Linked DNA regions of Struthio camelus. The protein of the gene in region 1 purifies or fractionates together with the protein of each later gene. This does not show direct contact. Links are inferred from orthologs where the notes say so. Each region holds a gene or a part of one and is shown on either strand. Other genes may lie near its edges.

Region 1 (3,743 bases):
AGCAAAAATTCCAGCCCTTGTTCTATCACACATATGCGTTAGAAATGGGAAGGCAGCACAGTACCTGGCTCAGAGCCACTGTCCTCTGTCAGTCGGCCTGTGGACGGCTGGTGCTGGTGCACAGGGGAGGTCGGAAGCTCTCCAGCTTCCCGATCCACCACCTCATCATCACTAGACTCATCCAGGCATGAGCTGCTGTCGCTGCCCATGCTGCTGTTGTAGCCCCGGAAGCTGTCGTAACCTCCAAAGATGTCCAATTCATCATCTTCATCATCATCTTCCTCCTCCATCCGCTCCAAAGATGAAGTCTTGTGGCGGAAGGGAGACACCAACTAGCAAGAGAACCAGTCTGCTTTAAAACAGGCATTTTACACCTCACCCCACAACAAGCCTGCCTTCGCTGCCAGGACCTCCCGAACCAGGGATAGGTCTCGGTGAGCGAGGAGTCCATGTAACAAACCCAGAGGCAAGAGTTCAAACCCATAGCAAGGAAGTTATTCCCCCCTCACACAGGTTCCTTCACAAGTATTTCATGTGATGCATTCTGCTTTCACAGGGCAAACAAACACAGCCACAGAGCTGCAGCTACATGGAAAAAGGCTCGAGAAAGAGATGAGACTATGCCCTTCCAGGCACTGTCTCTCCCAACAGCAGCACAGCAGAGCAGACACCATCAACAATAACAAACCAAGGTCACCACAAGCTTCCAGCACAGAGGACAAAACTTCAAACTCTGGTGACCATAGCCCACAAAATCAGTTCAACTTGGGTGTCAGCAGAACAAACTCGACTTTAGAGAAAGTTCATGTTCTATGGAAATGACTTAGTCCAGAGCTGACCTAAGTTCAGAAGCTGCATCAGCAGGAAGACAGAACAACTTTTGTTAACAGTCTTTCCCTATAACTAGATCTGTCTGTATCTACACATCTTCACAAGCTCTTCATACTAATTTATCCAATCCAAAGATAGGTTTCAACCTGTTACAGCAAGAGGGCAGAGAGGTAGCGATTGATGAAAAGCCTCAGAAGTCCGATGACTACTTTTCCAACTAGAAGAATCCTGAACTGGACTCCAAAAAGGGCAAAAAAAAAAGCTGGGAAAAGGTGTTAGCAGTTCAGGAACGAGCAGCAAAAAGTCAGCATCAGCACAGACAGTGAGGGAAGAGAAAGATGGATTAGAGCAGCAACGTGAGGGACCAGGAGACAGTTGTTCATCCAAGTAGGCAGTAACTAAGGATCAGCAGCAAATCCATCCCTTTCCAGTGCTAAATTCCCACTAGTTCCTGGCTCCTGGGTAGTATTACAGAGACATAAACAGGAAGATAACAGACTTCATTCATTGCTGTCTCCCCATATCCTCCCTTGCTTTCACAAAAAAAACAAACCGAAGCCACCGAGGTTGTTCCCTGAACATCAGGGCTGCTTTCCTGCAGGTCCACATCCTCAGGCAGTGTTCCTGATGCCTAAAAGGGGCTAGACTCTCTCAAAAAGCACATTCGTCTCCTTCTTGCCCCTTTCACAGCGCTCACCTTCATTCAGCTCATAAGAAACGAGTATCTTTGGACCGTTACTCTTCCATTAAACGCGACTGAAAACTCCCAGAGCTGACGAGCGAGGACAGCACCGCCCGTAACCCCATCTCCTAAGCGAGGCGAGCCGGGCGCAAAGGCCCGTCCTGCCCAGGGCCGGACGGGCCCAGCTCCCCCCCCCCCCCCCCCCAACAGCAGCAGCCCGGCCCCAGGCAGCGCGAAGGCGGGGCGAAGAGCCACGTCGGTTACCACAACAATACGGCGGCCACGAGGAGGAGAAGGAGGAAGATGCCCGCTCCTCCCGGCTCCGGGCAGCCGTTAGTACGCCACCACAGCCGTTACCCCGCCACCACAGCCCAGGCCTCGCCCCCTTCCTCAGGGCGCCGCGTGGCCCAAGCCTCCTCGCCCGCTGCTCCAGGGCTTCGCCCAGCACCCGGCAGGCCGCATCGCAACTGCGAGACCGGCAGCCTTCCCCTGGCCCGGTTCCGGCCCCGGAGGAGCCCCCAGTCCAGTCCAGTCCGGCCCGGCCCAACGCCTCTCACCTCCCCCCGCTCCTGCTCCATGGCTCCCGAGACGCCGCTACCCGCCTCACGCGCCGGGAGCGCGTCCCCCCTCCAGCGGCACAGCTGAGTGGTGGGAGGGCGGAAGGAAGGAGCCAATCAGCGCAGAGGTTGTTCCCGGCCACGCTCCCCGAAGAGCACGACGGGAGTTGTAGTTCAGCACCCCCCCGGCCGAGGCGGGGCGGAGCGGCCATGGCGCCTCACGCGGCTCCTCACGCCGAGGCCGGCTCCCCGGCACCGGGGTGTGTTTTAACAAGAATTAGGTTAGGTCTAGGCCACAAGGAGATCTGGGGAGAGCCGACGGGGAGAGGGTGAGACTACTGTTACTTAATCCCTGTAAGTTGTATTTAACCTAATTTTCCACCGATCCGTGGTTGCCCACCGCGCCCGGCAGAGGTGCCACAGCAACTGAAGCAAGCAAGTAAATATTTCTCAAAGTGCCCCTGAAGGAGGCCACTTCAGCCAGGCACGCTGGGAAGAGGCTTTGGAGCCAGCGGGGCGCCTGCACCCTCCAAAGGGATCCCTGAAGTGGCTTTCGGAGCTGGCTGACTCGGTAGCCAGGGTCAGACAGTCGCACGACACCCCCTCAGACAACCGGCGGACGCTTGCGTACGTGTGAACTATACGACCCACAAAAAGAAGGCACGGCCTTTAAAGAAATCTTTTTTTCATCCGTTCCCCTAGTTGCGGAATAGCTCTCTCCGATCCTGAAGGCGCTTTTTAAATTTTGCCCGCGTTTTCTTTACGGAAGTCTCTGGATTAGAGAACGCGGCACGTCAGGCTGTGGCTGCGCAGATCTTGCCTCACATAAGGTCTTTGCTCCCACAAAGGCAGGAGCGCTGCGTCAGTGAACGCAGCGACTGAAAAGTATATTTCTGCTACTTGTCCTGTGCTAAAGCAAGGATAGAGGCAGAATCCCAGAGCCGATGACAGTGGTACAGTTACAGAACAGAACAGACAGTATCAGTCCTTGCCTAGCAGTCACGCAGAATAACTGGAAATGAATGCAGAAGCCTTTTCTCATATGTACTCATTGATCTACCAATTTTACAGAATACGTGAATGAAAAATTGAGTCTCCAGGAGAGACTCTGATGGAGGTTTGTGCTCGTGGCACAGGGAGCTACCGCCATGACATTTAGCTGAAGATTAAATGAAGGCAGCTGAAGTACTGGGAAGTCACTAGCACCTCAAGGGCTTGTGCCAAGTTGACTTGGATCATTCTTTTAATTGTTAGAAGGTCTATTTAGGTGAAGGAAATTAAGGTATTTAACGTATGTACGGAACGGAGGATGGCAGGCCTGGTGGCTCGCTGTAGTTCCCCCACTGGCCCGCTATGCTCTTGGTACTGCTAATTCATTCCCTTGCCTCCTGCTTGCGGCATCTCAAATCAGTGATAGATTTATGTGACTAAATTACATAGTGTATTGACTTGGTTATATTGTATAGTCTGTCTGGATGAGGTCATGCAGCAAGCTGAACGTGTTTTCGTGCAAAATCACAATGCATGTGTGTCACTGTCAGCCAGTCCTGGAAGCTTTTGCCAAAAAAGGAAAACCCCCAATCCACAAACCCCATAAAACCCAGAACTTCAGCCCTACAGACGTTTAATGCCCAGTAACCACCATAATGTGGATGCAAATGTAGCATTCTTGA
Region 2 (3,743 bases), about 23 Mb from region 1:
AAAATGGTAGGCTGGAAAAAATTAATTCCCATCTAAACTCCACAGCGTTGCTATTTTGAACAACATTGACGAAAAACACTTCATTGCACAGGCAATATGAGCAAATGTTTTAACAGGGACCCAATTTGGTTTTTTGGACTCCAGCTCCTTTTAAAAAAAGTCCACCCAAATGGTCTTTAAGGTGCCAGGGAGACACAAATGATTCTCTCCAGAGACACAAAGGTCTACTTACTAGCTCAAATCTAGTTTCAGATTTGGAGCTTAAAATTGCCTGGTCTAAAACCACAACCTGTATTTATCTCATGCCATGTGTAAATCCTGGGCTTTGCACACATGTGAAAATGTGACCCATTTAAACCTTACAAGAAAAAAAAAAAAACATAAACCTAGTCAGCTACACATTTGTTGCGGAGTTTGAGTAGAAAAATAAAAATCAACGCACCAGCTAAAACTCTGCGTACGAGAACATTGTGGGGGAGGAAAGAGACACCAAAATTCAAGCTCTATATTTTGCTCCCAAAACATTCAAGAGGAAAAGGCCAACTGGTTTATCTACTTATTTATTCCGAAGATTTTTAAGTTTTAGTGCTTTTATCTCACTGAGTTCCCAGTGGGACAAAACACTATCTTAAACTGACTTTGCCAATGCAACTGAGTAGTGTTTAAAAAAAGGTTGTTACTCGCATCTCTGCTGTTTTAAAGATTTTGCATTCACTCTTTCAGCAGTGTTATTCTGTTGAATATTATCGATCCATACAGACCTATCCATGACACAAACGCAAAGCCAGTCTTGACATAAACCATGCTATATGTGACAGATACAGTTCCTCTTAGCACATTTATCTCACCGATTCCCTTATTATTAAAAAAAAAAAAAAAACAAAAATCAACAAGCATTCAAGACTAAGTTATCAGAAGTACTTTGGACATTCATTCAGGTTTTCAGAAGTCTAGGAAATAGGTGTTAGAAATAAAGCAGAATCTTACTTGTAAAATAATTTGACTTAACTTTGCACTTTTGATTTTAAACATACATTTGTTGCAATTCATATTCCATATTGCTTTGAATGATATTTAGAACGTAATTGCTGTTTTTGATAGGATTGCAACTTTTATTGCCACTTAAACTTCTCTTGCTGACAGGATTAGCCAATAGGTATGATAATCACCACAAAGGATTCTTTAATAATATTCTGTCAGCACACAAAGACTACAAGTGCAGTCCTGTTGGTTTTATAAAAATCCTCCATTCCCCAAGCGCGTCCATTTAGGCCATATTATTGAACAATACAGATACACATGGGAACCAGTTAATTCACTGCAAGCTTTCAAATGGGTGCTACAGAAAAAAAGGCCCTTCCTGGGAAGTCACTGATTTTTCAGGGTGCCACTTCCACACGGCACAACTCAGCCCATTCACAATTCCTTTTGAAACAGCCAAGAGTCACTATCCATCTCTACAGCCACCAAAATCTGCATGGTGGAGCAAAATAGCTCTGTGGATGAAAGCAAGCAGCCGGTTGGGGGGGGTGAAGAGGAGGGGGGTATAAATGACATTTTAGGGAGACGAAGTTAAACTCCTTAGAAGAAGAAAAAAGAGATATTAATTCAGGTGAGGGTTTTAACCAACCAACCATGCCCCAGCAGGGGGGGGGGGGGGGGATGGCTCTTCCCTTCTGCGAGGGGCACGGCCTTGCAAATGTTTGGGCTGTACAGACTATTATTTTTTTGGCTGTTGTTTTTATTATTATTATTTTTCGCTCCTCTCCCGGCAGTTACAGCGCGGTAACCTCGGGGAGGAGACACGGTTACACCACCCTCTCTCCAGTCAGTAAATCTCATCGGGCCGCAGTCCACGCACGGAGGAGCGGGGCCTGCCTGGGGTCATGTTTAGTGGGGAGCCCCGGGCTGGGGGCGGGGGGGGGGGTCGCAGCGAGACGAAGTCTCGCTGCGACCCCCCCCCCCCGCCCCCAGCCCGGGGCTCCCCGCTAAACGTGACCTCATTCCTGTCACAGCCGGTCTCCCTCACGGCGCGGGGTGGCCGGGGGGAGGAGGGGGGAGCCCGGCCAACGGCTCCCCGCGTGGCGTGGCGCGGCGCGGCGGGCACTCACCGTGTGGAGGTGCCCTTCCTCACGTCGCACATCATGCACTTGAAGGCCTCGGCGCTGTTGCGGAAGGTGCAGACGCTGCAGTCCCAGTAACCCTCGTCCGAGGAGGGTTTCGGCTGCCGCTTCGGCCTGCGGAGACATACGCACACAGCGGGGCCGGGGGGGGGGGGTGGAAAAGGGGGGGGGGAGAGAAACCTACCGCCGTCACGCCGGCCCCGCCGCCGCCGCCTCCCCCGGGAGCGCCCCGCCGGCCGCCATCTCTCCGCGGTACCGGGCCCCGGCGCTGCCCCTACCTGGTCGGGCTCTTCTTGTCTCCCATGCCGGCTCCAGACGCGTCCCCCCGGCGCGGCGCGGCCCGGCGCGGCCCTTTGTGTATTTGTCAATAAGGAGGAGCGCGGGGGGCGCTTGTCTCTAGCGGGGACCCGGGGGGGAGGAGGAGGAGGAGGAGGAGGAGCCGCCGCCGCAACCTCCAGCTGTCGGGGAAACTCCTGCCGCCGCCGCCGCCGCTGCTGCCCCCTCCCCCCTCACGTGTCCCCCCGCCGCCAACCAGCGGCCGCCCGCAGGCCGCGGCGCCCGGCGGGCCGCGCGCGGCGGCAGGTTCGCAACGGCCGGTGGCGGCCGGGCGGCGGCGGCGGAGGGACCGGGCGCCGCGGGGGCTGCTGGGGGCGCCGCCGGCGGGAGGGGCCGCGGCATGGCGGCGGGGGGGGGGGGGGGGCGTGCTGAGGGCCGGGCCCGGCGGCGGCCGCTGCCATTGTCCCGCGGGGCGCCCGGCCGCCTGGTGGCACATGGCGGCGGCGGTGTTGGGGTAGGCCGGGCGCGGCGCGGTCCGCCGCCGCCCCGCCGCCCTTCCCGGCGGCGCCGTGCTGCTCCGCAGGGTTTGCGGCCCAGGCCGCGGGCCGCCGGCGGGTGCGGAGCGGGCAAGGGCCGGCGAGCGGCGGGGGCACGGCGCTGTGGCGGGCGGGCGGCCGGGCCTCGCTGCGGGAAGGGGCGGCGGCGGCGGCGGGGCTCTGCCCGTCGGGGAGACGCGAGGGAGCGTCCCGGGCCAAATCAGGAGCGATGCGGCATTCGCGTGTTTTCGTGCCGGCCGGCGCTGCTTTCCCGCTGAGACCGCGTTTCTGTTAGCACAGAATAACGTTTGCAATAACGTCTCGTTTGCCTCGTTCTCCTTTCCAGAGAAATTTTTGCCGGGCCGTGCTTTGGTTTAAGGAGGGAAAGGAGATAAAATGAATGCTTCGTGGGGGTCTGCTTAGAAACCACGCAGGCCAGTGAGGCACAGGGAGAATGTGATAGGTGCTGATACAAAATCAGAAGATAACGGTGTTATCTAGTATCCACATGTAATGCTTGGCCTTTGTACTTAAAAGTGCAGAAGTACAACGTGGTTCACATGCAACACAGTAACATGAAACAAAACACTATTATTTGTTACCTGTGTTACAGCAGTGCACAGGAGCCCCAGTCACGGAGTAGGATGCCATTTTGCAAGATGCTGTACAAACAGAACAAAGAGCACATGTCCTAAGTACGTAACAAAAGGCAGCAGTCAGATACAGGTAGATGGCAGAGTACTGGCAGACAACGGGATGATATTGGTCAGCATCACAGTGATCAGAGCAATTTTTGCTGCATAGCCTT
Region 3 (3,743 bases), about 100 Mb from region 1:
GAGACGCATGCAGGGACTTAAGAAATATACACAGTTTAAATACACTGACACAGTATATATGGCACAGAAGATGGAGAGCAGCATCAACAACTGGAGGAGATGCTGGCTTTTTTGAGTTGTTGTGTGTGTGTTTTTTTTTTTTTTTTTTGGCTGAGGCTGGTTTTGTTGACTGGAGAGCTGACAGCTTACTGGCCTGAGATTTTGAATAGTAGCTCTCTTAATGTAGTTGAATCTTGCAATACTGCTGACAGCTTTATCTACCTGTTCTTGGAATGGGTCACCATGCAGAAAGATCTCAGCTGCTTCACCTGAGGGTCAGCTCTGGGCATTCAGGGGCAGCACTGGGGAGGTCTGTGTCTTCCTCAACAGTTACGTTTCCAATATGATTATCTTTTCAGAGGCTCACTGCTCTTCAAGCTCAGTCAAGAATGAAGAATGGAAAAATGGGTATAACCCCATTTTAGTTAGCAGAGCAGGGTACTAAATCATCAGCCATGGAACCTGAAAATAGTGAGTGACAGGTAGCAAGGTGTTACTGTAAAGGAAAAACTTGGACTGTGGCTACATTTATCAAAAGAATCAGAGTAACTAGTGTTTTCTCATTGTTAGAAAACACAACTCCAAGATTTAAAAAAAAAAAAAAAAAAGTGTAAAAGAGGTAAACTCAGTGTGAATCTAGTCAACTGATGAACCTTCTCTGGGGACTGTGACTGATTTTTCGTTCTGTTTTTATATAGTAGCTCTCCTGGTAATGTCTTTTATTCACGAATAGTCGTCTTTCCCAGGCACGATCAGGAAGTAGCACAGTTTTTGAGAAAGAAAGAATCTTTTCTTTCCTGCTCCCCTCTTGACTGTGTTACGATAACCTTATCATACACACTTGGTATTGCATGCAAAAGTTGCTGAGCAGCTCCCTCCCTCAAGCAGTCTTTTATCTGCACCTATAACCAACACAGCTTTTGAAGCATAAGGCTTTGCCTTTGCTAGTTTCTACCGTTATTGCTATGCCTTTATAGCTCCTACTATGCATGCTGAAAGTTTTTTGCCAAAAATTACATCTTTGTTGTATAATTACATCACGCAGCCCTAGCTAACAAACATCTTTTCTGCTGCTGTAGCTGCACGCGCGCTTGTCTTTCTGCTAGCATATAGAGTATGTGGAGGTTTCACATCCTTAAGTGCAAGAAATCATGCAGGCTGATTCTTTAGGGCGGATCTGGCCTAATTCAAGCACCACAGCAGCAGCTGTGTAACAGGAAAATTTTTCCCTGCAAGTGCTATGAAATGACAAGCTTGGAATGGATCAGCCTCAGTGAAGTTGCTCAAGTAACAGCAGGACAAGAAGCGATGAGGAAGCACCGGCAGGATGTTGTGGCAACTAACCACACCGTGCAAGCCGGCTCCAATTTAACAGCGTCATGGCACCCGCAGCCCCTGAAACGCTGTCAGCCGGGGCCGGGGAACGCTAGGGCTTCCCATCGGCCGCGGGCGAGGAGCGCGGAGGCGAGACGCGGCGCGGGCTGCCTGCCTCCCTCCCTCCGCGAGGAGCCCGGCGGCGGCCGGGGCCGAAGAGCAATCTCGCGCCGAGGCTTCCCGCGCGCTCGCTCCGAGCGCCGCAGGGCGGGCAGTCCGAAGGCGCGAAAATCCCGCGCATGCTCCCTCCGCCCACGGAGGGGCGGACGGTTGCCTCTAACCGCTCCGCGTGTGCCCGTGCAAGGCACGCTACACCCCCGTGACGTCAGCGCGCAGCGTCACGCCGGTGGGACGCACAAAAGTGTAAGTTTCAATTTTTTTTTTTCCTGCCAACGGGGGAAAGGAAAAAAAAAAAAGAAAGGAAAGAAAGAAAGAAAGAATCGCAGGGTCGCGCGCGCGCGCGCGCGCGGGACCCGGGGAGGGGCCGCGGTGCTGGCGCCCCCTCCGCGCCCCCCCCACCCCCCGCGGCAGCCCCGGCCAGGGGAGAGCGCGGAGGGCGGGCGGCGCGGAGCCCGCGCAGGTGTGCGGGGCCGGGGGCGGCCGGGCGGGCCCGCTCGCACCTGGGGGGGGGGCAGGCGGCGGCGGCGGTTCGCCGGGAGCCCGCCAGGCCGTTGACCCGCTGGGGCAGGGGCGGTCTGGGAAGTGACAGGCGGTGAGGCGAGCCGCCCCCCCCATGTCCCCCCCCCCCCGTGCTCTCCACGCCGCGCCGCGCCGCGCGAGGAGGGGGGCGGTCCCTGCCGGCCCCCCCTCCCCGCCTGAGCTACCGTTGGGGACCGTTGGTCGTCTCCCCCCCCCCCCCCCCAAGTCGCTGCCGCCGGCTGCCTCCTCCCCTGCCCCCTCCCGCCGGGCTCGCCAGGCCCGCGCGCGCCGCCGCCGCCGCTGCCGCACATGTGCAGTTCGGCGCCTCCGCAGCAGCGCGGCGCCGGGCGGGGGGTGCTCCTGCTCCGCGCTCCGGGTCCCTGTCTGGGGGCGGCGGCGGGGGATGGAGCCGGCTCTCTCCGCCTTCGGCCGCTCAGGTGCGGGCAGCCCGGGCCGGCCTGCGGGAGGAGGAGGAGGAGGATGGGGATGATCCGAGGGGGGTGTTGGGGGGGGGGGGGAGTTGGCGCCAGGCGAGGTGCTGCCGGCGGCGGGGCGAGGAGGATTAGGAGAGGACGGACCCCCCCCCCCGCCCGCCTGCTGCCGCCTTCCCCCCCCCCCCCCCAAGCCGCTGCCGGCGATGCCGCCTCGCGCGCGGGCGCATTTCCCCCCTTCCTCGTGCCCCCGCCGCCGCTGAGGCGATTAGCGCGGCCCCTCGCTGCTGAGGGGAAGGCGGCGCGGGGCTTAGGGCTCTGCCCGGGCGGTGAGGCCCTGGTCGGGGGGCATCGAGGGGGCGGTGGGGGAGGCGGGCGGGCGTGCTGGTGCCCGAGGCGCGGTGGCAAGTGCCCGTCTCTGCCTCTTGGTGCAGCCGCGGCCCGTCCGCCCGCGAGGGGAGGAGGAGGAAAGGGGGGTTGCGGAAGGCCCCGGGGGGAGCTGGCCCCTGAGGCCTACTTGTGCCTGCTGCTGGAAATGGGGGTGGGGAGGAGGAGGAGGCCGCCGAGGGAGTGATCTCTTCTCCCCGTCGCTTCTGCCCGCGCCCTTCTCCGCGGGGTTGCAAAGGGCGCAGCTGGACAGGGACCGGCCCAGCGTGGGCTCCGGCTGCCCTGCTGGGATCGGGTATGTGCTGGGGGAAGGGCGCTCCTGCCAGCGGAGAGCTCACCCCAGCTGTAGGATAAGGGGTATTTCTAAATGTGAGTTTGGGGTGGGGGGCACTAGGGGGTTATTTGATGATGACATAAAACTTTTTCTTCTTAAAAACATTTTTTTTTAAAAAGTAAAATGTATTTGGTGGTATTCAGTAATTTCCACGGTAAAAACTTTTCCCCCTTTCGTTCTTGTAGCTGATGTTGTCTTTACTTACTTTCTAGAAAATAGCATCAATTGTCTCTGTGTCCTGCAGCCATCAAGATTTGAAGAGGATTGATTTCTAGTCTTTGGTAACATGGCAAAAGATGTAAGTATGTTTGTAGTATGTCATATGCGGAGGAATAGCTAATATATTTTTGCTTTTGTTTTTACTAGCAGAAGGAAAGCAATTTATGCTTTACAGTAGCCGGCATTAGTGGATTTGTGGAATATACTTTTCCTCTGTTATACACCACGCTGAGACTGTTTTTCTTCAGATGTTACAACATAAAGCCAGCTTTATATCTGCAGCCATTTTTCAGAGTAATTAATCAAGGAGTCAATGTCCT

The links.
Region 2: the proteins of L3MBTL2 (region 1) and YAF2 purify together in Homo sapiens (affinity purification with mass spectrometry; 5 studies listed by BioGRID and IntAct, counting the BioPlex papers as one, with this or other methods). This does not show direct contact. The link is inferred for Struthio camelus from reciprocal best matches to the Homo sapiens genes L3MBTL2 and YAF2.
Region 3: the proteins of L3MBTL2 (region 1) and TFDP1 purify together in Homo sapiens (affinity purification with mass spectrometry; 4 studies listed by BioGRID and IntAct, counting the BioPlex papers as one, with this or other methods). This does not show direct contact. The link is inferred for Struthio camelus from reciprocal best matches to the Homo sapiens genes L3MBTL2 and TFDP1.

What each region holds. Positions count from the first base shown.
Region 1 is NC_090942.1:56,935,340-56,939,082, forward strand, and holds the start of L3MBTL2 (lethal(3)malignant brain tumor-like protein 2), read right to left. Parts: upstream 2,183-3,743; 5' UTR 2,092-2,182; coding exon 2,071-2,091; intron 1,733-2,070; exon of another isoform or gene 1,535-1,732; coding exon of another isoform or gene 1,529-1,534; intron 333-1,528; coding exon 65-332; intron 1-64. UniProt on the Homo sapiens protein: Putative Polycomb group (PcG) protein. PcG proteins maintain the transcriptionally repressive state of genes, probably via a modification of chromatin, rendering it heritably changed in its expressibility.
Region 2 is NC_090942.1:33,985,587-33,989,329, forward strand, and holds the start of YAF2 (YY1-associated factor 2), read right to left. Parts: upstream 2,645-3,743; 5' UTR 2,428-2,644; coding exon 2,402-2,427; intron 2,304-2,401; coding exon 2,112-2,303; intron 1-2,111. UniProt on the Homo sapiens protein: Binds to MYC and inhibits MYC-mediated transactivation. Also binds to MYCN and enhances MYCN-dependent transcriptional activation. Increases calpain 2-mediated proteolysis of YY1 in vitro.
Region 3 is NC_090942.1:156,568,393-156,572,135, reverse strand, and holds the start of TFDP1 (transcription factor Dp-1), read left to right. Parts: upstream 1-1,561; 5' UTR 1,562-1,776; intron 1,777-1,942; exon of another isoform or gene 1,943-1,993; intron 1,994-2,181; exon of another isoform or gene 2,182-2,489; intron 2,490-2,567; exon of another isoform or gene 2,568-2,812; intron 2,813-2,827; exon of another isoform or gene 2,828-3,239; intron 3,240-3,416; 5' UTR 3,417-3,490; coding exon 3,491-3,502; intron 3,503-3,743. UniProt on the Homo sapiens protein: Can stimulate E2F-dependent transcription.